Stegostoma tigrinum: one gene and its partner. The protein of the gene in region 2 purifies or fractionates together with the protein of the main gene of each other region. This does not show direct contact. Links are inferred from orthologs where the notes say so. Each region holds a gene or a part of one and is shown on either strand. Other genes may lie near its edges. The genes, in order: solute carrier family 12 member 2 and galectin-3-like.

The links.
Region 1: the proteins of galectin-3-like (region 2) and solute carrier family 12 member 2 purify together in Homo sapiens (affinity purification with mass spectrometry; 3 studies listed by BioGRID and IntAct, counting the BioPlex papers as one, with this or other methods). This does not show direct contact. The link is inferred for Stegostoma tigrinum from reciprocal best matches to the Homo sapiens genes LGALS3 and SLC12A2.

What each region holds. Positions count from the first base shown.
Region 1 is NC_081356.1:2,363,728-2,380,433, forward strand, and holds the start of solute carrier family 12 member 2, read right to left. Parts: upstream 8,676-16,706; 5' UTR 8,556-8,675; intron 2,971-8,555; 5' UTR 2,962-2,970; coding exon 2,895-2,961; intron 1-2,894. UniProt on the Homo sapiens protein: Cation-chloride cotransporter which mediates the electroneutral transport of chloride, potassium and/or sodium ions across the membrane. Plays a vital role in the regulation of ionic balance and cell volume.
Region 2 is NC_081363.1:47,871,161-47,887,868, reverse strand, and holds the start of galectin-3-like, read right to left. Parts: upstream 6,871-16,708; 5' UTR 6,763-6,870; intron 5,852-6,762; exon of another isoform or gene 5,848-5,851; coding exon of another isoform or gene 5,830-5,847; exon of another isoform or gene 5,801-5,829; 5' UTR 5,777-5,800; coding exon of another isoform or gene 5,774-5,776; exon of another isoform or gene 5,622-5,773; intron 1-5,621. UniProt on the Homo sapiens protein: Galactose-specific lectin which binds IgE. May mediate with the alpha-3, beta-1 integrin the stimulation by CSPG4 of endothelial cells migration.

The DNA of each region.
Region 1 (16,706 bases), on a different chromosome or scaffold from region 2:
TTGGTATCTTGCTTAGCACAAAAATACAAACTCAATTTAAAAAATTGTAATTCAAATTACTTGACAATTTTAATTAGATGAGACTACAGAACAGAAAATCAACAAATTTGGGCTGAATCATAAACAGTAAGGTTGTAGCAGAGTGGTCTCATGCAATCCAGCAGCAGGATGCAATGGGATGTAATTTTACAAACTAGACCTAAAAATTTAAGCTAACTAAAAAGAGTGACGAGAGCATTTTCTTCAACAGTCACCAGTTCAATTAACATGTGATTCAGTGTCCAAGAAAACACATTTTGTTTTACAGATGAGCCAATATCAATAAAACAGGATTGAGCAGGGCTGATAGAACTCACTTATAATAACTGAATTTGAAATAAAGCAGTAACATTGTAGCGTGAAGTTCAGATAACACGTACGGCTGTGACACAGCCAAGAGCAACAAAAGCTCCGGTCTTACTTTTAAATAATGTTCTTAAAAACAATTCCACTTTTTATAAGAAATCATTTTAAGCTGTCGCTTCTAATTCTTCATACTAATTAGCTAGTAAAATATCCCATTTCATACATGCTAGGCACACAAACTGCTTTTTGATCTTTCAAGATTTTTTTAATACTTTAGCAGCATGGTAGCTCAGTGGTTCGTACTGCTGCCTCAGAACAGCACGGATCCAGGTTCAATTCCACCCTTGGGCGACCGTCTGTGCGGAGTTTGCACATTCTCCCTGTGTCTGCGTGGGTTCCCTCCAGGTTCTCTGGTTTCCTCCCACAGTCCAAAGATGTGCAGGCTAGGTGGGTTGGCTGTGCTAGATTGCCCATAGTGTCCAGGGATGTGTAGGCTAGGTGGGTAGCCATGGGATTAAAAAAAGGTTACAGGAATAGATAGGGGGATGGGTCTGGATGGGGCGCTCTTTGGAGGATCAATATGGACCAGCTGGGCCGAATGGCCCATATCCACACTGTAGGAATTCTATACCCATGTCTTCACAAATACTAGGAGTTAATATTTGACACTAGGTATATGTCTTTTATTTCGCCTCAGCATATTTTAAGTTAAGGGAAGTTTGAATGAACAAACGAACAAAAAACCAAAAAAAAACAGCACAAGATAAAGTTACAAATGGAGGTAAGCGGTTCTGATATAAAAATTGTCCTTGCAGAAACAGTTGTCTGGTGTATTGCTTCTGTTTCTGGTCACTCACTAATTTCATATCTATGCTTCTACCATCCAGGTTATTACATAGGCTTTAACCTTGCTGATAAGCCTACTGTATTACATGTGACCAAATACCTTTCAGAATTTCAGCTACCACATGACCGATCAAATCTGTCCCCTCAGTGAAGAAACCAAACCAAAAATTAGTTAAACAATTCCTTTTGAACAAACCCATTCTGACTTTCTGAAACTAATGCAAATTTGCCAAAGAGATTGTGATATGCCCTGAATGATCATTTTGAAAACCTCTCTCAGCCCTGGGATTCAACTAACTGGTTTGCAGTTACTGGGCTTATTATTACTACACCAACATATCTCCAGCCTTTCAGGCCACCACCAGTAAAATGTTGGTAAATTTAAAAAACAGAACATCAACACCTGATAAAAATCAGTAAACTTTCTAATCATTTGATGCTCAAATTGGTGGGAGATCCAACCCTCACCCCTCCAACATTCAAGCATTGAAATTGAAACTTACTATTGCAAAATAACTTCATAGCCCAAGCAAAAATATATCACCAACTTGTAACATCTAATTTTTTTTCTGATGGATCAAAATTTTTGAATTGCATATGAGCACAAACTGCATCCATTAATCCGGATGCAGCCCTTGTCCTAATGAGCCACCTGATCCATAATCTTCCCCAATAATACAGTTTTGCCTTGGAAACTGTTTCTTTAATTGGTTTCAGAAAGAAGGATTTGCAGTAGCAATGCACAAATTAAAAAAAGAATATGCCAGCAAAAAAAAACTTTATCACTTCCCATTGCACTTCAAAAGGCATTTAGAACTAGCCCGATAATTATTCCATTTCTTCTGTAAATAAACCACCTCATCTTTCAATATTATGGGTGTTCAGTGCTTTTCAAATATTTGTAGTGACTAACTTAAATCTTTAATACAGAAAACAAATCAAAGTATCCAGCTCTTGTGATGCAGATATGGGAAGAGCATTACATTTTTTTTTTCTTTATTCATTCACAGAATGATAGCGTTGCTCGCCAGGCAGCATTTATTGACAATCCCTAATTACCCAGAGGGCAGTTTAGAGTTAACCAACACTGCTATGGATCTGGAGTCACATGTAGGCCAGACCAGGTAAGAATGGTAGTTTCCTTCCCTGAAGGGTATTAGTGAACCAGATGAGTTTTTCCAACAAATCAACAATGGATTCATGGTCATCATTAGACTCTTAATTCCAGATATTAATGGAGTTCAAATTCCACCATCTGTTGAGGTGGGATTCAAACCCAGGTCCCTAGAACATTATCTGGATCTCAGGGTTAACAGTCAGTGGTAATACCACTAGGCCATCACCTGCCCCCTCCATGGATGGGCATTTCACTAAGTTAGTTGATTAAGTCAAGTTTCCTGAAAAACTGTGGCATAATTGGGAAAGGTTTACTGAAATTTTAACAATGCTCCCATGGAAGTTAATTTATAGCTAGCTATAGCAGGAGTTTAAGTATTTCATGGTCAATTGTGAACAAAAGCTGCTCAACTTCAACACCTAGCATTTAATTAAAGATGAGGACAGAAGACAACCCATATGTTGCATTTAACACACTACTGTAAATGACAGAATCATTTAACACAAAGGTGAAAATAACACTTAAAATGCTAACATTTCAATCTATTGACTTTCATCAGTAGAATAAGTTGAGGTTTTCCACATACCTATTCCAGCGTGGCCAACAATCCATGTTAAACGGATGAAGAGCATCACACCCCAAATATTTAGCATACATCGTACCTAGTGGATTGGAAAAGATTCCAAGACAGCACAAATAAAGACGACTGATAATTGCATATTCCAAATTCTTAGCAATTAACATTGACAGCCAAGCAGGCAGCAAATTAAGTATAACCAAATAGTTGTTTAAGTTTCTTCAGAATCATGTTTAAAGGCGATACAGCTCAACAGTATTGCTGTTATTAGTTACGCATTCCCAAATCTTAATTGCACAACCTTTGGTGATCGGGACTTCAATTGCCTGAGCCTTAGAATCTCACTTGCAGATGTCCACCTCACTTTCTACTTTTCAAGAAAAACATCAACAGTACAGCACAGAAACAAGCCCTTTGGCCTACCACATCTGCACTGACTATGATGCCATTCTGAACCAAGCACATCGGGCTACACATGGTCCATATCTCTCTCTCTCTCTCTAATCCCTACCAATCCAAATGTCTCCTAAACATTGATATCATACGTACTACCACCACCACCTCCCCAGCAGCATATTCCAAGCACCTATCGTCCTCTTAAAAATCTCCTTTGAACTCCGTTCCCACCCCAGCCATATTCAACATTTGCCCCTCGTATTTGACATTTCCACCCTGGCTGGGAGAAAGACTCCAATTATCCACCCTATCCATGCCACTGAATTTTTATATACTTTAAGCTGGACAACACCTTCCTGCCAGCCTTCAATGTTCTGGAGAAACAATCCAACTTCTCCTTAGAGCTAATAGAATCTGACCAGGCAACATCCTGATAAACCTTTTGCGGCTTCTCCAAAGCCTTCACATTCTGCCTGTAAGTGGGGCAACCAGAACGACGCACAATGCTCCAAAACGTCACCCAACTCAGTTTCATACAGTTACAACCAGTTGCTAACTTTTATATTCCATGCCCTGACCAATGATAAGGAGCATGTTATACACCCTCTTCTACACCACATCCACTTGTTACCACTTTCATGGAATGAAGGACTTCCACCCCAAATCATAGGATCTCTTCCCATGCTGTGACTCTTTGGTACAACTTGTTCGTGCCAAGTTTCCCAAAACTAAACTAGTTCCATTTTCCTGCATTTGGCCAAGAGTCCAGCCATTTAATGTATACTTTCATCTTGTATTTGACCTCCCAAAATGCATCACCTCACTTGTTCAGGTTAAACTCCTCTGCCCAAATTTCCAATTGATCTATACCTGCTGTATTCTTTGACAACCTTCCTCACTATCTACAACTCCACCAATTTTCAGGTCATCTGTAAACTTATTAGTCCAATGAGCTACATTCCCCTCTGCTCACAGACGTCCATTCAGAAAGACACCCTTCCACAACTACCCTCTCAATTTCGTACCCGATTTACCCACGTGGGTTGATCCTATTAATTTAATCTTGTGAAGCAGCCTACCATGAGGGACCTTTTCAAATGCTTTATTAAAACTCAGACAACATCCACTGCCCTACTCTCATTCTTCTGTATCACTTCCTCAAAGGGAACAATCAAATTTGAGACACAAGACATCCCATGCTGGCTATCACTCAAGTCCTTTCTTTTCCAAATGCGAGTCAATCCTGTTCCTAACAATTTTCTCAATTTTCTAATGAACCTACAACTGATGTAAATCTCACCAGCCTATAGTTGCCTCGATTATCCCTGTTGCCTTTGTACAAAGGATGGACACTGGCTACTCAACAGTCCCCTAGGACACATGTTTAAAGGGAATACAAAAGATCTCTGCCAAGGCTCCAGCAAACTCCTCCCTTGCCTCCCTAGTGTGCCGGGATAGATCTTATCAAGCCCTGGAGACTTAGCTACTTCAGATTTTTTCAAAACACAACACATCCTCCTTCCTAATACTGACATGCCCTTTAATATAAAAACACACTCCTCCTAATCTTACCATCATGGCACTGGTATACGCCAAGGAGAAGGATAAGTACTCATTAAAAAGGAACTCACCCATTTCCTCTGGCTCCACACAAATTCCTTCCTTTGTCATGGAGTGGACCTACCCTTTCCAGAGTTGTCGTCTTGCTCCTCCATAAAACTTATGTGCTGAGCTTTTGGTCAGATGGTCCAATACCATTTGTGAATTGTTATCACACTTGACCCTGTATATGCCTCTGGTTTCATTTTGTTAATGAAAGGGTGATAAGGTGTTGCAGTGTTCAGAAGATAAAGGACTGGAACATTTGTCAGGCAACATTCTGGCCAGGTGTGTGCCAGGCAATAAGCATCACCAACGTGGGAAACTAACCATCACCCCTTTAAAAGGTATTACCATTACTGAGTCCCCCATTATCAACATCCCAGATATTCTCATCTACCAGAAACTGAACTGGACTCGCCTTATCAATACTGTTGTCACAGGACAGAAGGTAGTAATTCTGCAATGAATAACTCACCTTCTGACTGCCCAATGTGTCCAGCAACCACAACGGCACAAATTAGGACTGTGACGAAATGCTCCCCAGTTTCCAAGTTGAGTAACAGCTCTAAAAAGCAGCTAGACACCCTCCAGAACAAAGCAGCCTGACTGACTGACACCTCATCCACCACTTTCAACATTCAATACCTTTGCCAGTGCTGCAGCAGCAACAGCATCTACCATCTACAAAATAACTTTACACTAACTCAAAGTCCCCCCAATATCACCTTCCAAACCCATGACCTGTACTTCCTAAGTAGTGCACCACCTGCAAATTCTCCAAATTATAAACCAAGCCGGACTTGGAACCGTAATCACTGTTCCTTCACTGCCACCCGGTCAAAATCAGGGAACTTCCTTCTCAACTGCACTGTGGATGTACCGACACACCACAAGCGCTGCAGTCCAGGGAGGTTGCTCACTACTGCCCATCCTCAATAGCTCTAGAGACAGTAACAAGTGCTGGCCTAGCTCACAGTGCACATTCATCTGGGAAAAGATAAATATTTGAGCCTGCTTCCATTAGTTATTTCATTGTCCACCATTCACGATCAGAAGTGGCAGGATTACAGAGTTTAGATCTGATCCACTGGCAGTGGGATCACCTAGCCCCAACTATCACACACTGTTGCCAATGTTCAGCATGCAGGAAGCCCCCTGCTGTAGTTTCACTTAGTGGCGCACTCAGTTAGGAAAACCTGATGTCATTCCCGAAGTGGGCCTGGACAGTAACAGGGAAATGGAGAACATGCCACGCCATGAGGGTACAGACTGTGGTTGAATACATGCTGTTCATGATCAACATAACCTAATTGGCATCAAGTAGAGTTGCTAGACTCATCTGAAATCCATCCCATTGACAAAGGTGTTGTTCTTCATTGGTTTCAGTGCCATATATCAGCAAAGATTAGACTTCACCCGTACTGTCACAGTCCCTCCAACCAATACTGCAATGGGCAGATGCAACAAATAGCTCAGATAGCTGGATTACAACAAAGAATAAATGTTAGAGCAAGATCAATTCTTGCACTGGCCGAGGTTGCCATGAAAGACCTGCCTTCTCAAACTCGCCCCTCTGGTCAAACCATCACTAGTTGTGCTTGTGTCAAGGTAGCCTTACGGTCCAGTAAGCCGATGACAACTTCACTTGTCTGCGTCTTCACATGGAAGGATTTAATGTGATGAGCGGAGGGTGCAGGTGGTATTTCAAGTTTTCAAAAGGAAGATTTGTAAGGAATGAGAGAAAGGACAAGGTAGTTAATGATGGACTATTGACCAAGTGCCATGGGGTACCATGGGTCCAATAGTGCCTCACTTATACACAAAAAAAAACTTCAGTATAAAGAAATAACAGTGTGGAGCTGGAGGAACACAGCAGGCCAGGCAACATCCGAGGTGCAGGAAAGCTGACATCACGGTCCGGGACCCTTCTTCAGAAATGGGGGGGGGGGGGGAGGGAGCTCTGAAATAAAGTGTATAAAGCACTCCCCCACACCACCCCCCTCCACCCAACAAAGCATATTTTTGTCAGTTGAATGCTTTTGCTTTATAAGAACAGTTGGGAAATGGCCCTCAGTCTGGGGTCAGTAGTGATGCCTAGAAGATCTGCGATGCAGGAAAAGCCTTGTGATTAAACAATTGTAAAAGGCATCATTGCGAACTTTAAAATCAAAAAAGGTGTACATGGGGAGGGATGGGACCTGTACTCTGCTCTGTCTGGTCACGTTAAAACAGGCAGTAGTGAGATGTGCACACCTACCCACACCAACTTCCCCAAAATGCATGCTACAGCACCTTTATTGCATGCAGCAATTTCAATTTACAAGTATCACATAATAAAGTAATTCAGATTATTAAACCATTTGTTATGGGTCTTTCAAATCAACAGCCTGAAAATCTCTCAAAATTCCATAATACATTCAGAACCACAATAATTTGATGAGATTTGCATTACTGCAGGCTGATTATCATATTAAACAGGGAATCAACTCAAATTGAAGCTGCTTCATTATTTTCCTGTTGTCCAACTTTTAGTCTGCAAATTGCTCACAATTTGTCATGGACTTCTTAAATAAAGTCTAAGAAAGAGAATTTTCACACAGTCAATGCCCATTAGATTTCTAATAAAAAACAAAAGAACTGCGGATGCTGTAAATCAGGAATATTCCCATTAGATCTCAATTTTATATCAAAATAAACTGACTTTGTAAGTTTAAAAAGTCAGCTTACTTGCATGCATTTTTCCTTCAAAAGGAGTGTATCAAGAGTGCAGTCAGTAAGTGTTATTTGCAGGAACGTTGGAACAGTGATGAACAGTAACATTAACTGTAAAAGCAAGAAGCACCACCACTTTGGGGATGGGGTGGGGAACAAAAAAAGTCTGCGTCTCTTTTTCCATACAGTCACAGCATGAGAGTTGGAACCGGGATCTATGAATTAGGGCCAAGTTGTCAACATAAAGCAACAATTTTGCCTGAATATCAGTACTGAATTTTATCATGGAGCTAAATGAGATGCAGAGGTGGTTATTGTACATTCAAAGTCTAGAAATTCAGTCCTGCAAAAAGAAATCTACTTTCACAAAGCCATATAAAATGAGACATTTGCTGGACACTGCCCACTTTGGGATGAAAGAAAGGTGTTGTTCAAAGTTGTACCAACCCAAGAATCAAAAGTTTTCTAAAAAGCTCCACAAAATTAAAAGTAACAGCTTCAAAGTTCATAGAACCACTGAATCCATACACAGTGTGGAAACAGACCATTTGGGCCATCAAGTCCAGACTGACCCTCAAGAGATCAGGCCACCCACACTCATTCCCCTACATTTCCCATGGCTAACCATTTAGCTTGCACATTCCTGGACACAATGGGCAATTTGCCACAGCCAATCCATCTAACTTGTAAATTGTTGGACTATGGGAAGAAACTTGGAGCACCCATACACCTGGCCGGGGGGGGGAGGAGAGAAGAGAGTGGTGGTGGTGGTGAAGAAGAGGAGGAGATGTCTGTGTGGAGTTCGCGCACATGCCCCAGTCTAGGACCAAACCTGGGTCCATGGTGCCTTGAGGCAGCAGTGCTAACCACCAAGACAGCATGTTGCCCCAGAAAAAGTTCAAAGCTGATGACTAAATATCAGCTTATCTACTGAAAGCCAAAAGCTAGCAACTAACTTACCAGAACACCTTTAACCCAGCCAAACTTCACAACACCTTTACTGTCAACAACATGCTTTGACACAGCCTCTTCAGCTGGGCTGGCTTCCTCTCCATTTGCGTAACCATCCTCAAAAGGCTCCTGCAAAACAAAATCAAAAAAGGTTTTAATCTTATAACTTCTTACTTCAAATCATACACAATTTAGGAAGTTATTTCAGATTTACCTAACAAGATAACCATTACCTACTGCATTCCAAGTTCAAAGAAAAACTGCATTGTGCAATATATCACCTGTGTTATTAGGTTGAAGTTAATGAAAAGAACAAAAAAAAAGAAACAATGCAAGAATAAACCATTTCTCAAGCCAGCTCTATTAACCAATGTTGTGTTCTGGTAAACAGGATATTATGGTGTTGTTTCAGAGTTAACATATAGACAGAATGGGAAGGAACTAGATTTCCCAACAAAATCAGTTTATAGCTGAGGCAGCCACTTCATAAAAACATACAGAATTAAACTTGGCAACTAAAGATCCATTAGCCAACTAACTGCCAAGGCCAAACTCTCAATCCGTAACGAGATCAATGAATCAAATAACCAAGTGCATATTTCACAAAAGCAAGTCACGATTCTAAAGTCTGAGGTTTTTCGAGAGATGAGTAATGCATATTTTAGGATTACAGACGTAGTGTCTTTGGACTGTCAGAGGCTTTCTAAAAAAGGAATTTCATAGGAGGCTTCAAAGTTTCAGGTATAACAGAATAAAAGTATAAATAGAAAATTAGTTGTTAGATAGGAAACAAAAGAAATAAAAAAGGAGTAATGTTAGCAGTTCAGGTTGTAAATGAATCAGTTAAGAATATTAAAGGAATTTTTCAGCTTGGTAGAGAAAGCTAGGAGAATTTTGAAATTGGTTAAGTCTGACAGAGCAAACCGGGGAAAGACTACCGTTTCACATGGGAAACTCCATTGTGATCTCATCAATTAAAAACTATGGACAGTTAGGAGGATTACAAATAAACAATTCCACATTTATCAATGTGGGAAGATTTGTTATTGGGAGCAGTGGAGACAGGCTATTGGTTTCAAACTGGAAGCAAAGTTGACGCAAAAGGAAGATACAGGACTGTAGTAGGGCAATCAAACTACTTTTGGATTCCTTAAACAAGTAGGTACAAGCACAGCAGGGCTGTAAATAAATCAAGGTTTAAAGAGACAGGCGCACATTTATACACACAATCAGAACTTCCCAATTCCAAATGAACCCTCAAAAAGATAACATAGCATCTGCAGCAATCTGATCTTGAACAATAACTATTATGCATTTAAAGAAAAAAAGGGGATAAACACAAATAGACCAGGACATATCAACAGAATTACATAGAGATGGGTGGGAGAGGGGGAAAGAGGGTATTTCAGCTATGAAGTGCAGCTGGATAAGCACAGCTTGTTTTCTTTGGAGCAGAGAAGGCTGTAGGGGACCTGGTCGAGGTGTATGAGATGATGAGGGGCATGGACAGGGTGGATAGAAAGCAACTGTTGCCGTTAGTCAAAAAAGTGTCAAAGACAAGGAAACAATTTTTAACAACTGAAAAAGACGAGCAGTTTAAAAGGAGATTTCAGGAAACAATTTTCCATCCGAGGATGGTGGGGATATGGAATGCACTGCCAGGGAGGGTAGTCAAAACGAGAAACCTCAAATCTTTAAAAGTGTACTTGGGTGTTATGACACATTAAGTGTTCATCAAGGCTACCAGCCTAGTGAGAGAAGGTGGGGCTATGCAGGCAGTAGTATATTTTTGGCAGTACAGACTTAAAAAGGAGGGAGATGATAGATTCTCCAGCACCTGCAGTTCCTGAGATAACAAGGTGTACAGCTGGATGAACACAGCAGGCCAAGCAGCGTCAGAGGAGCAGGAAAGCTGATGTTTCGGGTCTAGGCCATTCTTCAGAAAATTCATTTTTTTGTATATTTATATATTCTGAAGGGTCTAGGCCCTAAACGTCAGCTTTCCTGCTCCTCGGCCTGCTGTGTTCATCCAGCTCTACACCTGGTTATCTCAGACTCAAAGGACCTGTTCTGTACCCTAACTCTGATTCAAAAACTAAGTGGAAATATTAAAATTATAAAATATTTAAAAAAGAGAGAGAAACTCAATAGATCTGGCAGCATCTGCAAAGGGCAGAAAAGTTAATGTTTTAAGCTCAATTTGATATCTTTAGAAGAGGGCTGGAAAATGATTGTTTCACCACCTAACCCAATCGCCACCACCCCCAACTCTCAAGAAAATAGTGGAGCAAGAGGACTGAATGGAACAAAATGTTAAAAAGGTTGCTTGGAGTGAAAGACAAAGGGAGTGCTTATGTGTGGGGGGTGGGGGGGGGGGGGAAGAGGAGAGGAGGAGAAGGAGGTAAGCAAAAGATATGGATGCAGGCTGTCACTTATGATAAGTGTTGCCACTTTTCTAAACAAGTCTTCAAGGCTTCCAAAGAGATTACCAGCATTCCAATATGCAAAAAAAACATTGTTGGTTTCATAAGTCATCATACCCTGCACACGGTAAAATCATAACCCAACAGCCAGATTTTTTTTTTAATTACACAATGAGTACAAACAAGACCCAGGTTAAAAATCAGATGTCACCTGCAGCACCTGTGAAAAATTAACTGCATAACAAACAAAAGGAGTTAGCACGTTACTTTCTACAACAGTGATATCTAGGTATTTCCATCAGCAATAAACTAAAATAGGGAATAGAGATAATGGGAACTGCAGATGCTGGAGATTCCAAGATAATAAAATGTGAGGCTGGATGAACACAGCAGGCCAAGCAGCATCTCAGGAGCACAAAAGCTGACGTTTCGGGCCTAGACCCTTCATCAGAGAGGGGGATGGGGGGAGGGAACTGGAATAAATAGGGAGAGAGGGGGAGGCGGACCGAAGATGGAGAGTAAAGAAGATAGGTGGAGAGGGTGTAGGTGGGGAGGTAGGGAGGGGATAGGTCAGTCCAGGGAAGACGGACAGGTCAAGGAGGTGGGATGAGGTTAGTAGGTAGCTGGGGGTGCGGCTTGGGGTGGGAGGAAGGGATGGGTGAGAGGAAGAACCGGTTAGGGAGGCAGAGACAGGTTGGACTGGTTTTGGGATGCAGTGGGTGGGGGGGAAGAGCTGGGCTGGTTGTGTGGTGCAGTGGGGGGAGGGGATGAACTGGGCTGGTTTAGGGATGCAGTGGGGGAAGGGGAGATTTTGAAACTGGTGAAGTCCACATTGATACCATATGGCTGCAGGGTTCCCAGGCGGAATATGAGTTGCTGTTCCTGCAACCTTCGGGTGGCATCATTGTGGCAGTGCAGGAGGCCCATGATGGACATGTCATCAAGAGAATGGGAGGGGGAGTGGAAATGGTTTGCGACTGGGAGGTGCAGTTGTTTGTTGCGAACTGAGCGGAGGTGTTCTGCAAAGCGGTCCCCAAGCCTCCGCTTGGTTTCCCCAATGTAGAGAAAGCCGCACCGGGTACAGTGGATGCAGTATACCACATTGGCAGATGTGCAGGTGAACCTCTGCTTAATGTGGAATGTCATCTTGGGGCCTGGGATGGGGGTGAGGGAGGAGGTGTGGGGAAAAGTGTGGCATTTCCTGCGGTTGCAGGGGAAGGTGCCGGGTGTGGTGGGGTTGGAGGGCAGTGTGGAGCGAACAAGGGAGTCACAGAGAGTGGTCTCTCCGGAAAGCAGACAGGGGTGGGGATGGAAAAATGTCTTGGGTGGTGGGGTCGGATTGTAAATGGCGGAAGTGTCGGAGGATAATGCGTTGTATCCGGAGGTTGGTAGGGTGGTGTGTGAGAACGAGGGGGATCCTCTTGGGGCGGTTGTGGCGGGGGCGGGGTGTGAGGGATGTGTCGCGGGAAATGCGGGAGACGCGGTCAAGGGCGTTCTCAATCACCGTGGGGGGGAAGTTGCGGTCCTTAAAGAACTTGGACATCTGGGATGTGCGGGAGTGGAATGTCTTATCGTGGGAGCAGATGCGGCGGAGGCGGAGGAATTGGGAATAGGGGATGGAATTTTTGCAGGAGGGTGGGTGGGAGGAGGTGTATTCTAGGTAGCTGTGGGAGTCGGTGGGCTTGAAATGGACATCAGTTACAAGCTGGTTGCCTGAGATGGAGACTGAGAGGTCCAGGAAGGTGAGGGATGTGCTGGAGATGGCCCAGGTGAACTGAAGGTTGGGGTGGAAGGTGTTGGTGAAGTGGATGAACTGTTCGAGCTCCTCTGGGGAGCAAGAGGCGGCGCCGATACAGTCATCAATGTACCGGAGGAAGAGGTGGGGTTTGGGGCCTGTGTAGGTGCGGAAGATGGACTGTTCCACGTAACCTACAAAGAGGCAGGCATAGCTGGGGCCCATGCGGGTGCCCATGGCCACCCCCTTAGTCTGTAGGAAGTGGGAGGAGTCAAAAGAGAAGTTGTTGAGTGTGAGGACGAGTTCCGCTAGGCGGATGAGAGTGTCGGTGGAGGGGGCCTGGTCGGGCCTGCGGGACAGGAAGAAGCGGAGGGCCTTGAGGCCATCTCCATGCGGAATGCAGGTGTACAGGGACTGGACGTCCATGGTGAATATGAGGTGTTGGGGGCCAGGGAATTGGAAGTCCTGGAGGAGGTGGAGGGCGTGGGTGGTGTCACGGACATAGGTGGGGAGTTCCTGGACCAAAGGGGAGAAAATGGAGTCCAGATAGGTGGAGGTGAGTTCGGTGGGGCAGGAGCAGGCTGAGACGATGGGTCGACCAGGGCAGGCAGGTTTGTGGATTTTGGGAAGGAGATAGAAACGGGCCGTGCGGGGTTGGGGAACAATGAGGTTGGAGGCTGTGGGTGGGAGGTCCCCTGAGGTGATGAGGTCATGAATGGTGTTGGAGATGATGGTTTGGTGCTCGGGTGTGGGGTCATGATCGAGGAGGCGGTAGGAGGTGGTGTCGGAGAGTTGGCGTCTGGCCTCGGCGATGTAGAGGTCAGCACGCCATACTACCACTGCGCCACCCTTGTCTGCGGGTTTGATGGTGAGGTTGGGGTTGGAGCGGAGGGAGCGGAGGGCTGCCCGTTCTGCGGGGGAGAGGTTGGAGTGGGTGAGAGGGGTGGAGAGGTTGAGGCGGTTAATAGGGAATACTGCTTTTTAAGATGTGCTATAATTTAACTGCACTATCACCAAAAGCATGCCTAAAGTGAACCAGTAAAAGACAGCTCAGATTTAAGAGTTTATTTTGTATTTATAAAGCATGAGATAAAATTTAAATTGCATCAGGGGTTCTAATAAGGATTTTCTTAAATTTTCCTTTTTGAAAAGGAAAATCTTAACAAATATTTCCTTCAAGGCAAAAGAAAATAACATTTACACTAACATACACAAACAAACACATACATAGTACTAAGCTGTCCCCTCAGAAAGCATAAGAATTTTGCCAAACAATGCTTTTGGAAAAATTTACATTTCCACTTCCTGCTCATATGGGTGTGCACCAAAACAAACCTAGGACAAACCAATTGTTCTAGAGAATTGATGCTCGAGATCATAATTTAAATAGCACATCCAAAAAGAACTGCAGGATCCAAACAAACACTCATCTTGACATTTTTGTCCCTGTGCAATAAACCAGCTTTTCAAAGATAATTTTTAAAAATCTAACCTTTAACCCTGCAATTCAGCTTCTCTATATTTGAATTCAAGTTTCAAAAAGAATCAAAAATCGGAACATTTCCCACTCCAAACAGACTTGGATACATACAATATTTCTTCTATCACCAGATCCTTTTGATGGTGAAAGCGTTATAACTTCTGCAGCATTTAAAACTAACACTGCATAAACAAATTATTTTTAAAATTTCAATTGTAAGTGATAACTGCTTCTTAAATAAGTAATTTAGAATCACAGCTAAATTGCCACAATTCTAACAACTTTGGGGTCTTTATTAAGTCAACTGTAGATCAATGACAAACAATTGTTTACAATCTAATTAGGAGTTATAATTGAATGAATAACTGAAAGCACCCAAAATTGCGAAAAAACACGAACTAATCAAGTTATGGTGCATTAGAAATATTCTACGATTATTTCATCATGTGGAACTTAACAAGAAAAATTTTGAAAATTCAGTAGTGGTAAGGAGAGTATTTGCCACACTTCCTTAACTACCCTAGAGAAGGTGTACAGAATGTTTAGGAAGAATAAAATTAGATTGTTAGTATGCAGTTCTCTAAGAGACATAGCTGAAGGGTTTTTAAGAACTCTAGGCTGAAAGGAAAGAAAGTTGCTCAGTGAAGTAATTGAACCATGGTTTCTAAAGTTATAAAAGAAATGGCCTTAATGTGAACTGCCACCTTAGAGAGGAAGATTGAAGGCAAAACATTAGGTTTAAGTTAGATGTAAAAAAAAATGAGGACTTGATTTATTGGGGAATTTTATACAAAAGGAAATCAATCTGAGCATAATTGCCAAATGCAATGCATAATTGTTTCAAGAAAGGAAAAGTTCTTAAAATAGGTGATTGAGCCTGACAGAAGCTAGAAAATAGGATACCCGTGAACCATTTCAACTCCCCCTCGCATTCCTCAGACGACATGTCCATCATGGGCCTCCTGCAGTGCCATAATGATGCCACCCGAAGGTTGCAGGAACAACAACTCATATTCTGCTTGGGAACCCTGCAGCCCAAATGGTATCAATGTGAACTTCACAAGCTTCAAATCTCCCCTTCCCCAATCGCATCTCAAAACCACCCCAGCTTGTCCCCGCCTGCCTCCCACCTATCCCCTCCTCCCACCTCAAGACCCAGCCCCCTACTAGCCTCATCCCGTCCCCTTGGCCTGTCCATCCTCCCCAGACTGACATATCCCCTCCCCACCTACATTCACCTTCACTGGCTGCATCCCCACATCTTTGACCTGTTTGTCTCCTCTCCACCTATCCATCTTCTGTCCACCCCCCACTCTCTCCCTAATTTATTACAGAACCCCCTAAACCTCCCCATTTTCTGAAGGAGGGTCCAGGCCCGAAACATCAGCCTTCCTGCTACTCTGATGCTGCTTGGCCTTCTGTGTTCAGAGCTGTACACCCTGTTATCTTAACTAGAATACACAGCACCTTTTAAGTGATAGCAGCTCCAACATGAGGATGAAGTGAATGAGCTGGAACTTAAATAGAGATCAAAATTAAGAAATCCACAAAAATAGACAGCAGTTACCCCAGGCTAACAAAACCAACCAGAGAATGAAAATTGCGATCATGTTGGAGTCAGCGTTGGAAAGTTAGAATTGGAAGCAAGGCAAATGTAGTCAAACTAGAAGAAAGAGGAGCATCCACAAAAATGTAAAACTCACCGTGCGATAGAAGGACTGCCTAGGTGTTTAAAAATTGGGGGCTGAAATGAGCAAGCGCTAAAAAGAGTTTAAAGAGAGTACAAAAACAAATTGCTGTTTCAAAACAGTGGCTGCAGTTCTGAGGGGAAGTCTCTGCCAATGACAGCAGCTAACAAGCAACTACTGATTAAGCAGTAATTGAAGTTCAGATTGCACAAGATATGAAGCTGGGGGGGGGGGGGGGGGGGGAGGTAGCAGGGTTGGTGTGCTGCACAGAGATGCATCAATACAGGTTGATTGATGACTATCACTAGCCACAGACCAATGGCAGAAACCTTTTTTTGCATCCCAACAAGCAGAACATTGGTTCAAGTATCTAAGCAAGTTGGCCAGAGGTAGGCAGCGTGTTCATGATGGGAATACAGTTTTAGTTCATGATGGTTTATATTGGCTGACCCGGAGCCCGAGTCTTATTAGTTGTAGTAAATAATTAATGCTTTTTACAGAAATCCGAACAAGATTTTCAGACCAATGTTGATAGAAAGCAAAGTTAATTGGAGCACTGTCCATTCCATAAAGTCTTTAACATTCGTTAGGACTCCAGATATAGCAGGTCAGGATTTACAGCAGGTCACCAAACAGTACACGGGCATTGTGGGTAAGCCAACAGCAGGTGGACTGCAGCGGTTCATGAAGGTAGCTCATCACCACCTTCAAGGGCAACAGGGATGAGCAATAAATGCTGGCCCAGCCAGCGATGCCCACATCCCTCAAAGTGAATAAATTAAGTAAAGTACATATGCTAATCAAAAAAATTAGGAACAGATTTTTTTTGAATTC
Region 2 (16,708 bases):
GCTTAATGTGGAATGCCATCTTGGGGCCTGGGATAGGGGTGAGGGAGGAGGTGTGGGGGCAAGTGTAGCATTTCCTGCGGTTGCAGGGGAAGGTGCTGGGTGTGGTGGGGTTGGAGGGCAGTGTGGAGCGAACAAGGGAGTCACGGAGAGAGTGGTCTCTCCGGAAAGCAGACAGGGGTGGGGATGGAAAAATGTCTTGGGTGGTGGGGTCGGATTGTAGATGGCGGAAGTGTCGGAGGATGATGCGTTGTATCTGGAGGTTGGTGGGGTGGTGTGTGAGAACGAGGGGGATCCTCTTTGGGCGGTTGTGGCGGGGGCAGGGTGTGAGGGATACCGCCCCCTCGATCATGACCCCACACCCGAGCACCAACCATCATCTCCAACACCATTCATGACCTCATCACCTCAGGGGACCTCCCACCCACAGCCTCCAACCTCATTGTTCCCGAAACCCGCATGGCCCGTTTCTATCTCCTTCCTAAAATCCACAAACCTGCCTGCCCTGGTCGACCCATCGTCTCAGCCTGCTCCTGCCCCACAGAACTCATCTCCACCTATCTGGACTCCATTTTCTCCCCTTTGGTCCAGGAACTCCCTACCTACGTCCATGACACCACCCACGCCCTCCACCTCCTCCAGGACTTCCAATTCCCTGGCCCCCAACACCTCATTTTCACCATGGACGTCCAGTCCCTATACGCCTGCATTCCGCATGCAGATGGCCACAAGGCCCTCCGCTTCTTCCTGTCCCGCAGGCCCGACCAGTCCCCATCCACCGACACCCTCATCCGCCTAGACGAACTCATCCTCACCCTCAACAACTTCTCTTTCGACTCCTTCCACTTCCTACAGACTAAGGGGGTGGCCATGGGCACCCACATGGGCCCCAGCTAGGCCTGCCTCTTTGTAGGTTACGTGGAACAGTCCCTCTTCCGCACCTACACAGGGCCCAAACCCCACCGCTTCCTCCGGTACATTGATGACTGTATCGGCGCCGCCTCTTGCTCCCCAGAGGAGCTCGAACAGTTCATCCACTTCACCAACACCTTCCACCCCAACCTTCAGTTCACCTGGACCATCTCCAGCACATCCCTCACCTTCCTGGATCTCTCAGTCTCCATCTCAGGCAACCAGCTTGTAACTGATGTCCATTTCAAGCCCACCGACTCCCACAGCTACATAGAATACACCTCCTCCCACCCACCCTCCTGCAAAAATTCCATCCCCTATTCCCAATTCCTCCGCCTCCGCCACATCTGCTCCCACGATAAGACGTTCCACTCCCGCACATCCCAGATGTCCAAGTTCTTCAAGGACCGCAACTTTCCCCCCACAGTGATCGAGAACGCCCTTGACCGCGTCTCCCGCATTTCCCGCAACACATCCCTCACACCCTGCCCCCGCCACAACCGCCCAAAGAGGATCCCCCTCGTTCTCACACATCACCCCACCAACCTCCGGATACAACGCATCATCCTCCGACACTTCCGCCATCTACAATCCGACCCCACCACCGAAGACATTTTTCCATCCCCACCCCTGTCTGCTTTCCGGAGAGACCACGCTCTCCGTGACTCCCTTGTTCGCTCCACACTGCCCTCCAACCCCACCACACCCGGCACCTTCCCCTGCAACCACAGGAAATGCTACACTTGCCCCCACACCTCCTCCCTCACCCCTATCCCAGGCCCCAAGATGGCATTCCACATTAAGCAGAGGTTCACCTGCACATCTGCCAATGTGGTATACTGCATCCACTGTACCCGGTGTGGCTTTCTCTACATTGGGGAAACCAAGCGGAGGCTTGGGGACCACTTTGCAGAACACCTCCGCTTGGTTCGCAACAAACAACTACACCTCCCAGTCGCAAACCATTTCCACTCCCCCTCCCATTCTTTAGATGACATGTCCATCATGGGCCTCCAGCAGTGCCACAATGATGCCACCCGAAGGTTGCAGGAACAGCAACTCATATTCTGCCTGGGAACCCTGAAGCCTAATGGCATCAATGTGGACTTCACCAGCTTCAAAATCTCCCCTTCCCCCACCGCATCCCTAAACCAGCCCAGCTCTTCCCCTCCACCCACAGCATCCCAAAACCAGTCCAACCTGTATCTGCCTCCCTAACCTGTTCTTCCTCTCACCCCATCCCTTCCTCCCACCCCAAGCCGCACCCCCATCTCGTACCTACCAACCTCATCCCACCTCCTTGACCTGTCCGTCTTCCCTGGACTGACCTATCCCCTCCCTACCTCCCCACCTACACTCTCTCCACCTATCTTCTTTTCTCTCCATCTTCGGTCCGCCTCCCCCTCTCTCCCTATTTAATCCAGAACCCTCACCCCATCCACCTCTCTGATGAAGAGTCTAGGCCCGAAACGTCAGCTTTTGTGCTCCTGAGATGCTGCTTGGCCTGCTGTGTTCATCCAGCCTCACATTTTATTATCTTAGGTTAGATGCTGACATAAGTAGGAGTTTGAAGCTAGGGAGCTTTTGATATTCAAAAGCTAGGTGGGGAAATGTCTCTGCTGAGGGAATTAATATTTACAAGTTATAGATTCAAAATCATTGGGGAAACATATGAAGTGAAAACAGGAGTTAATTTTCACATAGCATTGTTGCCATTGGAATGCTGTCTCTGAAATGGAACTGTAAGATGATTTTACAAATTATATTTTAAAAAGGTACTTAACAGTGAGGAACTTTCAGGGTCACAAATAAATAGCAGGATGTAGAACTAAGCACAACCTTTCGAAAGGCCAGCACTGACATGATGGGTCAAACTGGAAATGCAAGGGGACAGAGGGTCAAGCATGAAGGAGGAACATGAGGAAATCCTTACCAGTCAGGAAATAGTATTGGGGAAAATAACGGGATCAAAACTCAATAAGTCCGCATGGCTGGAGGGTAGCTAATGTAACCCCACTTTTTAAAAAGGAGGGAGGGAAATGGGGAGTTATAGGCTGGTTACCCTGACAAGAGTGGTGGGACAACGCTAGAGTCAATTGTTAAGGATGTAATAATTTAGCAAGCAGTGACAAGATCGGTCAAAGACAGCATGGATTCACTAAAGGGAAATCATGCTTGACAAATCTTCTGGAATTTTTTGAGGATATGACCAGTAGTGTGGACAAAGATGAATCAGTGGATGTTGTGTATCTGGGCTTTCAAAGGGCTTTTGACAAGGTCCACACAAGAGATTAGTAAGGAAAATTAAAGCTCATGGTATCGGAGGTAATGTTTTGATGTGGATAGAGAACTGGTTGGCAGACAGGAAGCAGAATGTTGGAATAAACGGGACCTTTTCAGAATGGTTGAATGCTGGGACCGCAGCTGTTCACAATATATGTTAACGCTTCAGATGAAGGAATTGAATGCAATGTCTCCAAATTTGCAGATGACACTAAACTGGGTGGCAGAATGTGCTGTGAGGAGGATGCAGAGTGATTTGGACAGACTGTTCGAGAGGGCAAATATTTGATAAATGCAATGTTAATATGGAATACTGTGATGTCACAAAAACAGGATGGCAGATTATTAGTTGAATGGTGGCTTTTAGGAAAAGGTGAGGTGCAATGAGACCTGGGTGTTACGGTGCAACAGTTGCTGAAGGCTGGCATGCAGGTGCAGCAGGCCATGAGGAAAGCTAATGGCTTCATGGCCTTCATTGTAAAGGGATTTGAGTATAGGAGAAGGGATGTCTTGCTGCGGGGATGTCTTGCTACAGTTATATGGGGCCTTTGGTGAGGCTGCACCTCGAGTACTGTGAGTAGGTTTGGCCTCCTAGTCTGAGGAAGGACGTTCTTACTATTGCGGGAGTCCAGTGAAGGTTCACCAGACTGATTCCCGGGATGGCAGGTCAGGCATATGAAAAAAGACTGGATCGACTGGTCTTATACTCACTGGAATTCAGAAGCATGAAGGCGGCTCTCATACAAACATACAAAGTCCCAATGGGACTGGACAGGCTAGACGCGTGAAGAATGTTCCCAATTTTGGGAAAGTCCAGAACTAGGCCTCACAGGGGTAAGCCATTCAGGACTGAGATGAGGAAGATTTTTTTCACTCAGAGCAGTGAACCTGTGGAAGTCTCTACCACAGAAAGCTGTTGGGGCCAGTTTGTTAGATATATTCATGGGGTTCAGGACTTGGCCCTTATGGCTAAAGGGATCAAGGGGTATGGAGAGAAAGCAGGAGGAGTGAGACACTGAAATCACATGATCAGCCATGACTATATTGAATGGTGATGCAGGTACAAAGGGCCGAATGGCCTACTCCAGCATCTATTTTCGATGTTTCTATCCTTATGAGCTGTAAGTTTCTACAATTCTACAAAACATTTTGCATTATAAGGTAATATCTGCCATGTAAGTTTGCTGCAGGAAATGAAATAAAATTAAATTTAACTAAACTGATGTCAAAAGTCAAACAGACCTGGAGAATATGAAGTGCTAACTAATGTACAATAACAGGAGCTATTCACTAAACAAATCCCTTTAACTCTGCTGGAATGCAGACAGTCCCAAAGAGCGAGAATATGTGTGATAAACGTCACTGTAAACGTCAACACTGTAAAACTGCACTGCACCTAGTGGTTTGTGGCTACCTTTTTCAAAATGAAAATTATTAGCAACTGAGCTAAGAAAATGCATTCTATAGAAACAGAAATGCACCTGCAGTTACTTACGAAAGGCAACAAGTTTAAGAGAAATAACTCCCTGCACTCTAAACGCCTTATGACGGAACAGAGATAACAAAGTGTGGAGCTGGATGAACACAGCAGGCCAAGCAGACCCATCAGATGAAGGGTCTAGGCCCGAAACGTCAGCTTTTGTGCTCCTGAAATGCTGCTTGGCCTGCTGTGTTCATCCAGCTCCACACTTTATTATGTCAGATTCTCCAGCATCTGCAGTTCCCATTATCTCTGATAGAACAGAGTACAAGTTTCAGCAGTGGTGAGAAAACTGTAATCTGAGGAGGTAACTTCAGACTGACAATTCACAGCATTTGTTCTAACACAGATATGAGTGGTAAAGATGTGGATTTCTTTTTTGTAATACTTGTTGTTATGCTTGTACAGTTGCTTGAATATAAAATAAAACATTGAAAAGGTCTGTCTTTCAGTTGCTGGGGAGTATCAGTATTCATGGACACATTTCCCCAAGCTTATATTTTAAAAATATCTTGGTGGGATAAATCTCTATGAAACTGCGGTCTGGACCACCCATGTAGATCTCACCTCAAGTCAATGATTCAGAGAACAACCATCAGTTTCTCGCAACAAGACACTGGTAATGTTTTAAAAACTGCTAGAAACAATTACAGAACTGTTGTAACATCAATCCCAGGCTTTAAACATAAACAAACTTTCTGGCTGTTTTCCTTACAGATGCTGAGTGTTACCAGCATTATCTACTTTTGTTTTAATTTCACGTCTCTAGTAATTAACATGTTTTTGCGGTATTCCCATTAAATGCCAAACTTCACTCTACAATTTGTCAATGTAAAAATCTTCAGTCCTATAATGGTAACAGTGACGGCACTCTGAAATAACTCAATTAGATATCGTGCAGTTTTGGACATCCTGATATGATGAACATTGCCAACAAAAATACTTTCAAATATACAAGCTACACCACCAACCCCCGGCAAAAATACTCGGGGTGAAGGCAGTGCTGTAATTTAACACCAGGGCTCATTCACCAGATGCTTAAAAAATGTACATATCGGTGCGATGCTACCTACACAACAAAAAGATTCTAACATTTCTTACCATGATTCTGCTGAAGGAGAAACGTTTCTGAAATGGAAAACGCGTGGGTTTAGCAAATGGCGACTGAGAAAGGAGTGAGTAAGTGAAGAAACGCCCGCCCTGAGACCGCAAAAAAACCTGGATAAACAGGTTTCTATCTGCATGGAGATAATGGGAACTGCAGATGCTGGAGAACCCGAGACAACACTGTGGGGCTGGATGAACACAGCAGGCCAAGCAGCAGCAGCTTTTGTGCTCCTGAGATGCTGCTTGGCCTGCTGTGTTCATCCAGCTCCACACTTTTGTTGTTTTCTATCTGCATGGAAACTGCAGGAAACCCGAGCTGCGGATAATCGGGACGCAGCGCTGCCCAGTCTCCGAAAGTTTCGCTAGTTTCCCCACCGGAGACCCCAATAGCCGAGTGATCGCCATTCTTCCACTCTCCCCCCCCCCGCCCCCACACAAAAATAGACCCCAGTACTCGGCCAGAGACTTCGTCCCCCTCTTGTAACCACCCAAGTACTCAGCCCGAGGCTCTCCCCTAAAAAACCCCAGTACCCGGCCCGATTCCCCACTCACAGTGACCCCAGTACCCGGCCCGATCACCCAGTCCCAGTGACCCCAATACCCGGCCCGATCCCTGAGCGCAGTGATCCCCAATACCCGGCCCGATCCCTGAGCGCAGTGATCCCCAGTACCCGGCCCGATCACCCAGTCCCAGTGACCCCAATACCCGGCCCGATCCCTGAGCGCAGTGATCCCCAATACCCGGCCCGATCCCTGAGCGCAGTGATCCCCAATACCCGGCCCGATCCCTGAGCGCAGTGACCCCCAATTCCCGGCCCGATCCCTGAGCGCAGTGATCCCCAATACCCGGCCCGATCCCTGGGCGCAGTGACCCCCAATTCCCGACCCGATCCCTGGGCGCAGTGACCCCCAACACGCGGCCTGATTTCGGCCCTTCCTGAATCCGCAGTGCACCGGGCTGAGACCCCAGCCTGACGGCTGACCTGATTTCCCGGTTTAACACCAGCCTGTGATGTGAGATTTTTAGTTCTCCAACCAACGCCCTGGGAGGTTCACTGCAGCGCCTTTCCCTGGGCGTGGCTGCACAACCCCGTTTAGACATGCCCCAGTTTGGAATTAAACCGCGCAGAAGTGTTACTGACATGGTTCAAATGAAATAACCTCCCGACGTTCGTATCGTCATATTTCACCTGATATTCTCAAGACTTTGAGATAACACGGTGTGAAGCTGGATGAACATCAGAGGAGCAGGAAAGTTTGACGTTTCGGGTCTAATTTTTTTCTAATTTTCTGATGAACGGTCTCGACGCGAAATGTCAAACTTTCCTGCTCCTCTAATGCTGATCGGCAGTTCCTACTATCTCTTCTCAACACTTTGTGTGAAGTTTGTAACTTGGATAAAAAAAGTGACTGCGGAATGCAAGTTGGATGCGGGGAGCCGCTACATACTGCTGAGAACGCTGCGATCGAATTTTGGAAATGGACATCATATTGCGCTTGTCATATTGCTTCCTTGATTATTATTTTCTTTGCATTCTTTACATTAAAGCCAACCCAATACTGTTGGCCTTGTTTAAAAGGCAGACTAGAAAAATGATCTTTTACTCGTAACGTTTGAGTTAGAAACTATAATGCACAGCACAGCGGTAACTCAATCTTCTCGGCCCCATTGCTTTATCCTCCCCATTTAAAGTCATACGGCACGCCAACAGACCCTTGGGTCCAACTAGTCCGTGCTTAACATAATCCCAAACTAAAGTAGTCCCACCTGCCTGCTCCTCGTCCATCTTCCCACAAATCTTTCTTATTCATGTACTTATCCAAATGTCTTGTAAATATTGTAATTGTACCAACATCCATCACTTTCTCAGGAGGTTCATTCCACACGCAAACCCCTGTATTAAAATTTTGTCCCCAATATCACTATATATCTTTCTCCTCTCATCTTAAAATGTGCTCCCCTCCCCGTATTAAAATCCCTTTTCTAGGTAAATACGTGAATTTATCTCCAGAGATGTTCACTTAGCTTAGTCACAACAGAAACTGTTAATTAGTTTAGAGTGTCTACTTGAAAGAAGTAACTTTAAAAATACAAAACTGTAAAGATTGGTTCCAGTACAATCTTCAATTATTATTTTCAATGAAAATGAAAACTGAGAAAAATGTAAAATAGACTGTGATTCACCACCATCCATTTTACGTGGTAGCATAGTTGTGAAGGAAATACGTGAGCTGCTGAATGTTCTTGTTCCTTTTATGATTTAATTGTGAACCCTGGCAGATGTGTGAGGAACAGCACCACTTTGGTACCCGTAGTGGGTAGCAACAATGAAGTGACAGATATTGATTGCGCATGCATCTGAAGTATTTTGCAGTTCAATGAGTATAAGAAATACCTATCATTGCTTTTCAGTCACTTTACCATGATCTCTGTCAGCCTCATTTGTTTTGCTTCACCAGACACTGTCCATCAAAGTCTTCATTTTTTCTCTATCTCTCACCATTCTCACATCTTGTTTTTTTAAAAATCATTCAGGTTATACTTTCTCCCCAGCCTTTTCAATGTAGCTTTCCTTTGCCATTGCTTACCTTATTTCTGTTCTTAGATCTTCCTCTTCATTCGATAATGAAAGCCATTTAATATTCTTATCGGCTGTTTGTTAAGGTCATTTCAGTGCTGTGAATGCAGTAAAAGTCTTTCACCTTTTAGGTCCAGCTTTTTCCTTTTAATGTAAGCATAAAAGAGTTCCATTTCTCCATGTTGCAAATGTATCTGGTCCTGTGGGCATCAACAAAGCACACTTTGTAGATTGAACAGAGTTTAATTTTTAACATAGTAATTTGTTTAATTGAATTTGAAAATTCAATCCATTTTTATGTTCTTGGTGATAGTTGCCATGAACCTTTGAAATTTTTTTTCAGTTTTTCACCAATAACCTTGACCAATACATCCAATATGATCTATGTATTTAGTTCTGAAGCCCTCTGTTAATTTCACATAGCTATATAAAATCTGTTAATTGGAAAAATGATAGAAAATCAGGAGGATTTGCTTAAGCAGGCATTTATTGTGAGACAAAACATGTTTAATACCACTAGAGTATGAGTTCTACTTGTCAAAAAAGATAGGTATGGACAACAAGAGTGAAGAGACACCCGTGCATAAATGACTGTTACCAAACCCATCTTGTGAAAAGGTATGCTATCAGACACAACTCTTGGAATAGTAACGCAGGATAGAATCGTACGTGCCAGTCCCCAGAAGCAGAGGTAGTCACTGAGTGACAAGATGAATTGGTTAACAGGCCTGCCTCATACCTCTGAGATTTTGTTCCAGTTTTTAAAATTTTAGGTTTTCTAGCTCATGCCACACACTTCACTACTTGTTCTGGTAAGTGCTGAAATTCCTTTATCGGGGGCTGCAAAGCTAGTTCATCAAAAGAGAAGAAATTGAAGTTTATTGTAAAGTTAATTCAGATTTGACAATCCACACTGTCACAGACATCTAGGTGTCATTGCTGGGAAATCTACCTTGACAACATTTGCTATTTGATATGCTTTGTGGAATACTTACACAGTTTTTTTTGTTAGGTATATTAGTCACACGTTAATTCTGGCTGCAAGAATATAAATTGTGAATAAAATAGTATGATGTGGAGGTGCCAGTGTTGGTCTGGGGTGGACAAAGTCAGAAGTCAGACAAACAGTCCCTCTTCCATACCTACACTGGCCCTAAACCCCACCTCTTCCTCCGTTACATTGATGACTGTATCGGCGCCGCCTTGTGCTCCCAAGAGGAGCTCAAACAGTTCATCCACTTCATCAACACCTTCCACCCCAACCTTCAATTCACCCGGACCATCTCCAAAACCTCCCTCTCCTTCTTGGACCTCTCTGTCTCCATCTCAGGCACCCACCTAGAAACCGATATCCATTTCAAGCCCACCGACTCCCACAGCTACCTGGAATACGCCTCCTCCTGCCCACCTTCCTGCAAAAATTCCATCCACTTTTCCCAATTTCTTCACCTCCACCCTGTATCTGCTCCAGGATGAGGCATTCCATTCCCGCACATCCCAGATGTCCTCGTTCTTCAAGGGCCACAACATCCACCCCCACAATGGTCGAGAACGCCCTTCATCATTTCTCCTGCATTTCCCGCACCTCATCCCTCACACCCCGTCCCCACAATAACAGCCAAAAGACAATTCCCCTCATCCTCACATAACACCCCACCAACCTCTGGATACAACAAATCATCCTCCGACACTTCTGCCATCTACAATCCGACCCCACCACCCAAGACATTTTTCCATCCCCACCCTTGTCTGCCTTCCAGAGAGACCCTCTCTCCAGGACTCCCTTGTCTGCTCCACACTCCCCTCTAATCCCACCACACCGAGCACTTTCCCCTGCAACCGCAGGAAATGCTACACTTGCCCCCACACCTCCTCCCTCACTCCCATCCCAGGCCCCAAGATGACTTTCCACATCAAGCAGATGTTCACCTGCACATCTGCCAATGTGGTATACTGCATCCACTGTACCCATTGTGGCTTCCTCTACATTGGGGAAACCAAGCGGAGGCTTGGGGACCGCTTTGCAGAACACCACCGCTCAGTTCACAATAAACAACTGCACCTCCCAGTCGCAAACCATTTCAACTCCCCCTCGCATTCTTTAGATGACATGTCCATCATGGGCCTCCTGCAGTGCCATAATGATGCCACCCAAAGGTTGCAGGAACAGCAACTCATACTCCGCTTGGGAACCCTGCAGCTCAATGGTATCAATGTGGATTTCACAAGCTTCAAAATCTCCCCTCCCCCCGCTGCATCCAAAACCAGCCCAACTCATCCCCGCCTCCCTAACCTGTTCTTCTCACCTATCTCCTCCTCCCACCTCAAGCTGCACCTCCATTTCCTACTTACTAACCTCATCCCGCCCCCTTGACCTGTCCGTCCTTCCTGGACTGACTTAACCCGTCCCTACCTCCCAACCCATAGTCTCCTCTCCACCTATCTTCTCCTCTATCCATCTTTGATCCGCCTCCCCCTCTCTCCCTTTATTTAAGAATCCTTTCCCCATCCCTGTTTTCTGATGAATGGTCTAGGCCTGAAACATCAGCTTTTGTGCTCCTAAGATGCTGCTTGGCCTGCTGTGTTCATCCAGCTCCACACTTTGTTATCTCTTTGACCGAGTTATAGTCCAACAGGTTTATTTGAATCACAAGCTTTCAGAAAACTGCTCCTTTGTCAGATGACTAATACAGTAGACTGTAATACTGTCCGAGCTTTATGTAGTCAGTTCGCCTCTGTTTGTCCAAAACTATGGAATCCTCTGGCATTATTCTTCAGCGAGTACCTCGATCTTCAACTTTGTCACAAGATAAAGGTTTGTTTATTACAGTGCTTAAGGTAACGACAGTAAAAGAGATAACATTTTTAGCTAAATTGCATATGTAAAGATTAAAAGTAGGCAAGGATGAAAGATCAGTCTCTAACATCATTGCAGCCTATTGCCATAGTGACATCATTGATTTGAATAAAGTGACAGGAGTTAAATGAAAAGTTTCTCAAAGTGAGGACAAGCTCAGCCAGGCAGAGGAGGGTGGTAGTGAATGGGAATAGCTCAGGTCTTCTTTTGGGAAGATGTGGAGAGCCCCATGACCAAGCTGATGTGGCATGGAAGTGTAAAGAAGAGATAGCTAGAGCCCGTAAACTGGAAATGTTGAAACTGGCATGAAGTGTCAGAAACATAGTGGATGTAAGTGGACAAGAATTGGATAAGGAGAGAAAAAAATTGAGTAATGATAGGAAGATATAAGTTCCATGTGCTAGGAGCATACAGAAATAATGGGTCTGCCCAGGCAATCCTGCTTTGTGGATTTTGGGGAGAAGGTAGAAGCGGGCTGTACAGAGTGGGGGATTCTATGAGCTGGAAGGCCTTTGGTAGGAGATCCCCAGATGAGGCGAGGTTGGTAAGCGTCGAGGACACAATAGCCTGATGCTCGGTGGTGGCATCGTTTTGTTCAGAAGAGATAGGAGGTGGTATCTGAGAGCTGGTGCTCAACTTGTGTAATCTAGAGGTCAGTACACGAAACAATAACAACAGCACCACCCTTGTTGGAAGGCTTGATGATAAAGACAGGATTGAATGTGAGAGCACAGAGTGCGGCCAGTTCAGAAGGAGATCAGTTCATATGGGTGAGGGAACAGAGAACCTAAGCCAACCGATAGCGTGTACACAATGATCAGTCAATATAAAAGACCAGAGGGAGGGTTTAAGGTGGAGGTACTGGAAGTGGATGAAGGTGTCCATGGGATGGGGAGAGCACTCCTAACCAAACAAATGGGCATGGAGGTGGAAGAAGAAGAAGAAGAGTTCAATGTCATGTCTTGCCTGAAATTCATTATGGTGCAGAAGGATATAACTAAAACCTTTGCTAAGTATAGAATGTTCAGCATCAGAGAGTGGAAGATCAAAAGGGATAGCAAATATTTGACAGGCAGTAGGGTTAGAAGAAAGAAAGGAGTCAGAGGGAAAGGGAAGGGAAGAAGAGGGATGTGGATATCTCTGAGTTATTGCCGCTTGTGTTTTTTTTTAATTCCTGAAAGGAAGAGAAAATGTTTATTGTTAGAATATTGAACAGGTCTGAAAGTGAAGTAGAACTGTGAGACTGCTTTGAGGCAGCATGAAGCAGTGTCCCAACAACCATGAGGGAATGGCAATGTATTTCCCGATCTGGATGGGCAGTAGCTTGGCTGAGGGGAGCTTGCAGGTGGTGCTGTTTCCATGTATCTGCAGTCTGTGTCATTTAACATTGTAGTTCTCATGGGTTCGGAAAGTGCTGACTGGAGGGTGGCTGTGAATGTGTGCAGTGCAGTTTGTGGGTGTTGCACATTGCTGCTACTGAGCATCTGCGGTGACGGAGGGAGTTGATCTTTGTGAATGTGATGCCAGTCAGGAGGGCTGTTTTGTCATGGATGGAGTCAAGTGAGTGTTGGTGGGGCTGCAGTCATCCAGGAATGTGGGGAACTTTCCATCACACTCTTGACATGTATCTTGTAGATGGTGGACAGGCTGCGGGCAATCAAGAGATGAGTTGCTGCGGCATTCCCAGCCTCTTGCTTGCTCCTGTGACCGCCGTATGTATATATATAAGGCTAAATGGTAGCTTCCAAAATTTTGATAGTGGGGGATTCTGCAGTAGTAGTACCATTGGTTGTTGTGAGGTGAAGGTTAGATTCTCTCTTGTTGGAGATTGTCATTGCCTGGCCAATGTGGTGTTAGTGTTATTTGCCAGTAGTCAACCCAAACCTGGCTGCTGTCCAAGTCTTTCTGCATGTGGGCATGGACTACTTCAGCATTTGGGGAGTTGGGAATGGTGCTGAACATTGAGCAGTAATCAGCAAAGATGTTCACTTCTTATTTTATGAGTAACAGCTCCAGGGCATCTCTGCAGGAGTTCCTCATGCTAGTGCCCTGAACCCAACTATCATCAGCTGCTTCGTCAACGAGCTTTCCTCCATTATAAGGTTAGAACTGGAGAGGTTCATTGTGCAGTCATCAATGTACAGCACTGTTTGTGGCTCTTCAGATGCTAATGCAATCCTGGCCCAAATGCAGCAAATGTACAATATCCATGTTCATGCTGACAGGTGCCAGGTAATATATTTTCCACACAACTGCTAGGGTGATGCCCATCCCTAATAGAGATAATCTGGCTTTTGCATCATGACATTTGATGGTATTACCATTGCTAAACTCCCCGCTATCAACATCCTGGGGGCTAACATTGACGAGACACTGACCTGCAAGTCTAGCCTTGTGGATACGGTGGTTGTGGGAGCAGCCCAGAGGCTGGGAATATCGCAGCATGTAACTCGCTGCCTGAGCCCCCAAGGCTTGTTCACAATCTATGGCACATGGGTCAGGCGTGTCATTGAGTGCTGCCTGTTTGCCTGGATGGGTGCAGCTCCAGCAACACTCAAGAAGCTTGGCACCATTCAGGGCAAGGCAGTCTGCTTGATTAGCACCACAAACACAAACCACTCCCTCAAACACCGATGCTTAGTGTCAGGAGCAAAAACAAAGTTGCTGTAAAAGCCCAGCAGGTCTGGCAGCATCTGTGGAGGAGAAAAAAAGAGTTAACGTTTTGGGTCCGGTGACCCTTCGTCAATTCTGAGGAAGGGTCACCGGACCCGAAACATTAACTCTTTTTTCTCCTCCACAGATGCTGCCAGACCTGCTGAGCTTTTCCAGCAACTTTGTTTTTGTTCCTGATTTACAGCATCCGCAGTTCTTTTGGTTCTTGCTTAGCGTCAGGAGTGTGTGCTGCATGCATGATGCCCTGCAAGAGTTTACCAAGGAATCTTGGACAACACCTTCTAAACCTACAGTTATGACCATCTAGAATTCACAGAAGCACCACTGCCTGCAAGTTCCCCTTCAGGCCACTGGCTATCCTTACTTGGAGGTATGCTCCTTCAGTGTTGCTGGGTTAAAATCCTGGAGTTCCCTCCCTAACAACGTTCTGGGTGCACCTACACTGAATGAACGGCAGTGGTTCAAGAAGGCCAATAAGTTTAGGAGGTTGAAGGGTGACCTTATTGAGGTTTATAAAATTATGGGAGCATAGATAAGGTGAATGACAAGAGTGGGTGAGTTCAAAACTAGGGGACATATTTTTAAGATGAGAGGAGAAATACTTAAAAAGGACATGAGGGGAAACTTTTTTACAAAGCGTACGTGGAATGAACTACCAGAGAAAGTGGGAGATGCAGGTACAGTCACAATATTTAAAAAAACATTTGGATAAGTTAATGAATGGAAAGGCTTGAAGGGATATGAGCCAAATGCAGGCAGGTAGGACTAGTTTAGTTTGGGAACATGGTCGGTATGGACTGTTGGACCGAAGGATCTGTTTTCATGCTGTATGACTCAATGAGTCCATAACTGTTTACATTATAAATTAATGACTTGGAAGAAGGAAGTGAATGTACTGTTGCCACACTTGGAGATGAGACAAAAATGGCTGGAAGGGCAGGTTGTGAGAGGGACACAAACAGTTTATGGAGTTATATTGATAAATTAAGGAAGCTTGCAAAAAAGTTGGCAAGTGGAGTTTAATGTGGAAAAATGCAAAGTTGTTCATTTTGGAAAGGAGAACCAAAGAACTGAATGTTATTTAAATGGAGAAAAAAAGGTTAAAGGAGGCCTTGGAGGCATTTGTACATGAAACACAGAGAGCTAGCACACAGGTGCAGCAAGTACTCAGGAAGACCAATAGAGTGTTGGCCCTTATTTCAAGTGGGTTGAAGTATAAGGGTAGGGACGTCTTACTGTAACTGTATAAGGCACTTTTGAGACCACATCTGGAGTACTGTGAACAATATTGGTCTCCTTATGTAAGGAAATGTATCATTTCATCAGTAGTAGTTCAGAGAAGGATCATGAGGACGATCCGTGGTATGGCAGGATTGACTTATGAGCCAAGGTTAAACAGGTCAGAATGCTGATATCTGAATTTTAGAAAAATGAGAAGTGACGTCACTGAAACATGTAGGATTCTTAGGGGGCTTGACAGGTTAAATAATGAGAGGATGTTTCCCTCATGGGACAGTCTAGGACCAGGGGGCATAATCTCAGAATAAGGGAGCGTCAATTTAAGACTGAGATGAGGATGAATTCTCTCAGAGGTTTGAGAGTATTTGGAACGCCTTGCCTCAGAGAGCTGTGGGGCAGAGTCCTTGTGTTAGATTCTTGATCAGTAAAGGAATCAAAGATTATGGGGAAAGGGCAAGAAAATGGACCTGATGAATATCAGATCAGCCATGATCCCATTAAATGGCTGAGCAGGCTCAAAGGGATGAATGGCCCACTCCTGTTCCTATGTTTTTTACAGTCATACTTGTATCCAAGTAGAGGTTATGATAACAACAACCCAATTTATAATATTCATATATAGCACCTCAGTCAAGAGCACCAGGTAGGCTGGTCTGTCCAGCCAGACAAAAAAGTGATGACAAAAATTATAGTGTGATCTTAGAGGCCTTCCACACTTCCTCCACAATGTCTCTGTCAATATTTGGGTCAATAAGTCTAAGTTAAGAAAGAATCTGATGATTGGTTGCATTGTTTCCTTTCAACTAACAGCAATGTGCTGAATTTAACACCAATCAAAGTAGCCCCAGTGAAATGGTTTTGCAACACCTTGTCTTGTTCTTAAAAAAATAAATATGGTACATGTCCATGTGGTATTTGTTATCAGACTATTACTGGACTAAACCTTATTGAATTACAAGAGAACTTGTATTCAAATATTAGATAACAAGGTGTACAGCTGGATGAACACAGCAGGCCAAGCAGCAAGGAGCAGGAAAGCTGATGTTTCGGGCCTAGACCCTTCTTTCAGATTCTCCAGCATCTGCAGTTCCTACCATCTCTTGTATTCAAATATTACCGCTTCACTGATCGTGTGGGAGTTTCTAGACATAATAATTCCAACTTCTTAGCATTTTTAGCAGAAATTTTGTCATTATGATTCTATGACGATAAATTGTAATCAGACATCAATTTTCAGATAGATCCAACACAAAGAACTGCTACTTCCCTTGAGATTAAACCTTACATTTGTTCAAATCAAATGTGAAAACTAAAGATAGGGTCAGGCTGCAAGTTAGGTACAGCTACATTTATGTTAAAACAGTTAATGGTGAAGAAAACTTAGAAAAGAATCAGGAATTTTTTTTAAAATCAAGACATTAGCCCTGATTTTGTGACTGGGACAGAAGTGGGATTGTGGCTCAGGGCACAGCTGGTGTCACCAAGGAATTCATTCCCCTGAATTTGTATTGGCACCTCGCAAATGAAAGACTTCTTTCAAGCGCTTGGCATGTAACATACTTAGCAATATAGGGATGTTCA